Saccharomyces cerevisiae S288C: one gene and its partner. The protein of the gene in region 1 interacts with the protein of each later gene in a pairwise test. Each region holds a gene or a part of one and is shown on either strand. Other genes may lie near its edges.

What was found.
Region 2: the proteins of MEI4 (region 1) and REC104 interact in binary tests that used the Saccharomyces cerevisiae proteins (3 or more experiments, as listed by UniProt).

The regions. Positions count from the first base shown.
Region 1 is NC_001137.3:237,750-241,674, reverse strand, and holds MEI4 (Mei4p), read left to right. Parts: upstream 1-1,900; coding exon 1,901-1,963; intron 1,964-2,051; coding exon 2,052-3,215; downstream 3,216-3,925. Other genes in the region: ACA1 (Aca1p), read left to right, coding at 174-1,643; ERG28 (Erg28p), read left to right, coding at 3,659-3,925. UniProt on the Saccharomyces cerevisiae protein: Required for meiotic induction of recombination, viable spore production and chromosome synapsis. Component of the MER2-MEI4-REC114 complex which seems to be required for meiotic double-strand break (DSB) formation.
Region 2 is NC_001140.6:410,813-414,038, forward strand, and holds REC104 (Rec104p), read left to right. Parts: upstream 1-2,094; coding exon 2,095-2,643; downstream 2,644-3,226. Other genes in the region: U5 snRNP complex subunit LIN1, read right to left, coding at 572-1,594; KEL1 (Kel1p), read right to left, coding at 2,873-3,226. UniProt on the Saccharomyces cerevisiae protein: Potential transcriptional regulator that is required to activate expression of a number of early meiotic genes including HOP1.

The DNA of each region.
Region 1 (3,925 bases):
CTGGTTATTATTAAAATATAGTAAATCTAGATCTCTCAATCTGAGTGCTTACCGACTAAAAGCGCAGAAACTGTATTCTTATTATTTTTTTTTTTTCACGGCAGCTAATTGTACTGAGTTATATTAATAGTACTGGAATAACACCAGGTAACGACTAAGGAACCAAATAAAGTATGGACTATAAGCATAATTTTGCTACAAGTCCAGATTCTTTCCTAGATGGAAGGCAGAACCCACTCTTATATACAGATTTTCTATCTTCAAACAAGGAGCTTATATACAAACAACCATCGGGTCCTGGTCTTGTGGATTCTGCCTACAATTTTCATCACCAAAACAGTTTGCATGACCGTAGCGTGCAAGAAAACCTGGGTCCAATGTTTCAACCCTTTGGCGTCGACATCAGCCATCTTCCCATTACCAACCCTCCCATTTTTCAAAGTTCTTTACCAGCGTTTGATCAGCCCGTGTACAAAAGACGCATATCTATCTCCAATGGTCAGATTAGTCAATTAGGCGAAGACTTAGAAACGGTTGAAAATCTTTACAACTGTCAGCCTCCGATCCTATCGTCTAAGGCGCAACAGAATCCCAATCCTCAACAGGTGGCAAATCCAAGCGCAGCCATATACCCAAGCTTTAGCTCGAACGAATTGCAAAACGTGCCACAACCACACGAACAAGCTACAGTCATACCCGAAGCTGCACCTCAAACAGGTAGCAAGAATATCTACGCTGCAATGACCCCGTATGATAGCAATATAAAGCTTAACATACCCGCAGTAGCAGCCACTTGTGACATTCCTTCTGCCACGCCTTCTATCCCATCTGGCGATTCCACAATGAATCAGGCTTACATCAACATGCAACTCCGATTACAAGCTCAAATGCAAACTAAGGCATGGAAAAACGCTCAATTGAATGTGCATCCATGTACTCCAGCCTCTAATTCTTCCGTTTCCTCTTCTTCTTCCTGCCAAAACATTAATGATCATAATATCGAAAATCAATCCGTCCATTCTTCAATTTCCCATGGCGTTAATCACCACACTGTTAATAATTCCTGCCAAAATGCCGAGTTGAATATTTCAAGCAGCCTTCCATACGAATCGAAATGCCCTGATGTCAATTTAACACATGCCAACTCAAAACCACAATACAAGGATGCCACTTCTGCACTGAAAAACAATATTAATAGTGAGAAAGACGTACATACCGCGCCCTTCTCCTCTATGCACACTACAGCAACCTTCCAAATAAAGCAGGAAGCTAGACCCCAAAAAATAGAGAACAATACTGCAGGCTTGAAAGACGGTGCTAAAGCTTGGAAGCGTGCAAGGCTACTAGAACGAAACAGAATTGCCGCTTCCAAGTGTCGACAGAGAAAGAAAATGTCACAATTACAACTTCAAAGGGAATTTGACCAAATAAGCAAAGAAAACACAATGATGAAGAAAAAAATTGAAAATTACGAAAAATTGGTTCAAAAAATGAAGAAAATTTCGAGGTTGCACATGCAAGAATGCACAATTAATGGTGGTAATAATAGTTATCAAAGCCTTCAAAACAAGGATAGTGATGTTAACGGGTTTCTGAAAATGATTGAAGAAATGATACGCAGCTCCAGTCTATATGATGAATAAAAGTATTGCGCATACTTCTTATGGGAGATCCAAATTCCCAGTACATTAGTTTGACTCTCCTTCCTTAATGTTTTCCTCTGTACGATTATTTATGTTTAAACGATTTATTTTACTATGTATGTATTTCCTTTCATTTTCTTTCGGAGTCATATATATTGCTGGGCGGCTAAATGTTTCCGACTTGTAAAAGAAAACATAACAAACATCTTGTAGTTGTGAAACAGTTTCATTAAATAATCTTTTAGAAGAGTAAGGACATGAGTAGAGGCAAACTGGAAGATATGGAACAAAAGGAAACATCGGAAGTTGACTGGATAATCGTACGTGAAATTGTCACATCCTTAACCTATTTTCTCTTTACTAACTTTTAGTAAGAGGTGTAATCTCCTCGAATATTATCTATGACAGTGTTTTGCTTTAATTCAATCCAGGAATCCTACGTTGTGGAAGAGGGCACTTTCAAGAAAGAAAGGAGATGTCGAAGATGTAGGTGCTCTCAAGAGTGAAAAAAATTTAAAAATAAATCCTCGGGAAAACTCAAAACATATATACAAATGGGTTGCGCCTTTCGAAAATGGATTTTTGAATAATAAATCACTGTTTGCTCATCTGGAACCTATATACAATTTCCTTTGCCAGAATAAGTACAAAAGCTTCGAAGATGCAGTTGGTTTAAAGGAGCTGCAATCATTTAGCAAAGATGTATCAACTGCTGATATAAACAACTGGTTTTTACCGAGATATAAAATTCTGCTAAAAATCCTGAGCTTAAAAACAAAAGAAATTGACTTTAGAGGGTTATCGCAAGTGTTTCAAACACTCCAAATCTTGTTAGTTTCTCATTATTCGCATCGCATAGATTCTGATTCTTCTTTTAAGAGGACACTGATAGACGTTCATGTTTTCAATTTCATCGCCAAGTTTCTGTTTAATAGAATTTTATTGAAGAAGAACCAAAACGATCCAAAATGGCTTCAAAACTTTTACGACCAGGGAGATGGCAAACATTTATGTGATAAAGTTGACTACAAGCGCTTGTGTTCGTTGCATTTTACCCTTATTTACTCTATTATTAACATTCAACTCATCAAAATCAAGACAAACCAAACATTTGAACCGCAGATATTAAAATACGTATCTGTTCTGAAATTAATTGAACACATACTTATCATCATCGAAAGTCTGATACATGTACTTATTAGATTTGTATCGAAGCATAAACTAATATGCATCAACCGGAAAAAGGCGTACTGTCGAGTATACCTCGAAAGAGAATTGAGTTTGAAGAAAACCTACTTAAAGAACTTTTACAGTGTAATAAGCGGTGTCCCAGAAAAAGAGTTAGGGGGTCTATTGAAAATACTCAAGATAGTTATTCTATCATTGCTCGAGACATTTGAAAGCATTGAATGGCAGCACTTAAAACCTTTCCTGGAAAAATTTCCGGCTCATGAAATATCGCTTCAGAAGAAAAGGAAATATATACAGGCGGCCTTATTAATTACTGCCGAAAGAAATTTGATAGCGCGCTTTCGATTGTCAAGATGGTTCAATGAGACAGAAAACATTTAATTTTTCTTTTGCAGTAGGAGGCGCATTATAAAACACAAAAATATCGAAAGCTCTTTCATTTCGGGGACAACAACTTCAGTTGAAAATTACAGTGAACACAACATCTTCCCCAACAGACCTACATTAAAACGCTTCTTCCGGACTTGCCCATGATTAACCTAATCTTATACGAACTGAATTAAACTTTACGGTATTACCGATAGGAAACTTCTATTTTATGATTTTTTCGTTCGGGGACGGAACGAACAGGAAACAAAAAAAAAGGTACGATCCATTGTATTCTCTACCCCCGTATATAAAACTAAGCTGAACAAGCCTGTTGTTTTGCTTTACTATTGCTACTATTTTTGACGTAAACGCATTGACTAATTTCAGGTTTTTATATTCTTGACACTAGCTAGACCATAGTATCGAAGGATTCAAATACACTAAAGTATCAGATAATGTTCAGCCTACAAGACGTAATAACTACAACCAAGACCACCTTGGCAGCAATGCCAAAAGGTTACTTACCAAAATGGTTACTTTTCATTTCCATTGTATCAGTCTTCAATTCTATCCAGACTTACGTTTCTGGTTTAGAATTGACACGTAAAGTCTACGAAAGAAAACCCACTGAAACAACCCATTTGAGTGCAAGAACTTTCGGTACTTGGACCTTTATTTCCTGTGTTATCAGATTCTATGGGGCTATGTACTTGAATGAACCA
Region 2 (3,226 bases), on another chromosome or scaffold:
TTCAATAATCAGAAGGACCCCGTCTTGTCTAATAGAATGGGTGAACTTTTTTTATTTCTTGGCTCATGATTATATTGTAAAATACATAGCATTTTATATAATTGTGGTGCTAACCCTAAGTACTTTTTTTTTTCGCCCTTTCCGGGTTTCTTTTTTTCACCTTTTCGTTTTTCTAGAATTTCGCAAAGTATATAAGAGACCATAAACAGTTGGAGAAAAATATCACAAATTTATCAGCCCAATTTATGGCAGCTTAAAAATGTCTAGGTCGATGCTTTCAACGATATCTTTATCAGGTGATTCTTACGCGCCAGGTGGATAGAGGAAATTTGCGACAGTAGGTTTACTGTCCTGGTTTCCTTGTACACTTGTGATACTCATTTTTTGTCTGCCAATAATATAGTCCTGTTTATTTGTTATATGATGATAACCTTCTCAGCTCACTCAGATCTTTTGATATGATTGATAAAAATTTCCTATCCAACATTCATCAATTTATCTGACCAAACAATAAACTTAGTACTATATAGTCTCGCAGGCAATTCTCTTGAATAATTTCAACTTTTATATCTTACATGAAACTTAAACACGATACATGTATCCAGTTTTCATCTCGATCTGGTTCGCTGTGAAATTTTACTATAACACTGTTTTTGAAGTAGGATTTTTGCCAATAAGACATTTCATAGTTCGTGTACAGGCCGTGATATTCATCTAATTTGTTCAACCACTTGAAGCCCCATAACTTTGTTTTATGGTTAACTATTCTGGAGGAGTCATCGAAAATTTCCTCTTCTATAGCATCCTGAACTTTTAAGCGGTTATATTCATATACTTCACTGAATCCCTTTTTTTCTAGTATATTGATCAAATCAGATAATAGCTCGATTCCGTGAATAACATATTTCAATGATTTGTTCTTTTTTGAAATGGCAATTTTTCGCAGCTTGTTTAACCTGCCCAAGGATTCCAGTACTGTTTCATTCTCATCAACAAGAAAAAATTTCAAAAGATTTAATGCTTCGTGGACCATATAATGTCTCGAATTCTGCGTTTTGACACTTTGTTCCTTTTCTAAGCGATTTACCTCCTCTGTATTTATGACATCATTCATCCATTCCTCATTATCTTGTTGATCATTTTCTGTGGCGTTTTCTGTCTTAATATAATTCCCATCTTTATCGAATACCCCATGTTTTATTTCGTCATCTATATTAAATGGCTCTATATTCACACCTTTTTCTACCTTGCTCTCTGAATTACCGATCTGATAATCTAAGTCGGCTAAGTTTTCTTTCTTGAACTCTGCAATATCCAAAAGCTGAATTTTCGATTTCTTTCGCTTTCTATGGTCTTCGACGTGATCTTCATTTTTTTCATAGGATTTTTCATCCATTTCTTTCCCACTATTTTCATTATCTGTAGAATCTTCAACGCTAGAATCAGAATCAGAATCATATTCTGCCCTGCTTAGCTCTTCATCTTCATATATCGTACTTTGATTATGTAACTCATCGCTAAGCTTTTCGTCGTGTTCACGTCGATCACTATTTCTTTTCAGTTTTGAGCTGTTCGGGTATTGCGTATATTTCATATCCTTCTACAAACAATATGGTGCACTTGAGTGTTTTTATCAAAGTTTTCCCTTGTTCTTTAAAAGGCAGCTTAGCATGGTCATTCCAATTTGTTCGGATGCGCTTCTTTTAATCTAGTCAGAGAAACTTACCCATTAAGTAATTAAAATCGATTATTAGGGCATAAATGGAAGAAAAGGAGACTATGTTGGTAGAATGTAAAGGAAGGGACCCTCATTCACAAACAAGGCAGGGACTTTTATGTTACTACTGAATGTTCATGGTGATGAGTGATAATGTCCTTTAGCTAATAGAGTAAGCCACACTTATTCAAAGGTCAATTTGGAGTAGGCTTACAAATGTAGTCTTTTCTTTCATAAACCAGTAGTGTTAAACTTTATGTTTCTTCAACTTTGACGCACAATATTTGGCGGCTATTTTCCGCTATACCAAATAAAATATATCTTTTGTATAAGAAAACAAACTGCTGAAGAAAAGAACATACAGCAACTTGGACAACATGTCCATCGAGGAGGAAGATACAAATAAGATCACATGTACGCAAGACTTTCTTCACCAATACTTTGTAACTGAAAGGGTTAGCATTCAATTTGGGTTAAATAACAAGACCGTAAAAAGGATAAATAAAGATGAATTTGATAAGGCAGTAAATTGTATCATGTCATGGACAAACTATCCTAAGCCTGGGTTAAAACGAACAGCTTCAACGTACCTCTTAAGCAATTCCTTTAAGAAATCTGCAACAGTATCTCTTCCGTTTATCTTAGGCGACCCAGTATGCATGCCGAAGAGGGTGGAAAGCAATAATAATGATACCTGTCTTCTGTATAGTGACACATTATATGACGATCCTTTAATACAGAGGAATGATCAAGCAGGAGATGAAATAGAGGATGAATTTAGCTTTACATTGCTACGAAGTGAAGTAAATGAAATCAGACCCATATCTTCGTCCAGCACCGCCCAAATACTGCAATCGGACTATTCTGCGCTGATGTATGAGAGACAGGCTTCAAATGGGAGCATATTTCAGTTTAGTAGTCCCTGAGATTTAGTTTGATATCGTTAGCATAAGCTATTTGTCACGTTACTATTTCTCTCCTTCATTTATTCTTCCATGATATATAAATTTTTGTCAAGAGTACAGTTATTATTATATTATATCATTATTATAATTGTTATGATTACTATTAATATTATTAATGTTTATTATCAATGTTTATTATTATTATTGTTATTACACATGAAAAGTGAAATTTCATTACGCATATTGTCTTTTATAGTAGATCGCTGTCAGCATCTTCATTAACTTGTTTGGTGTTATTTTCCAAATTCAATAATCTCTTTTTCAACTCTAACACTTCACTTTTCAAGTCATCTCTTTCTTGATTAGTGATGAAGAGTTCCGCTTTCAGATCATTTATTTTGATGTTGAATTGATTTTCTCTTATGCTGTTGCTATTTTTTACATTATTGGAACTCTCCTCGGTGCTTCTGAGACCATTTTCGAAATTTTCACTGCAGACGCCATTTTTGAACTTCAATTCATCTAACTCGTCGATTAACTTTTTATTCAAACTCTTGTACTTCTCTAGCTCTCTTTGTGAAACCATTAGTGCCTTACTTGCACT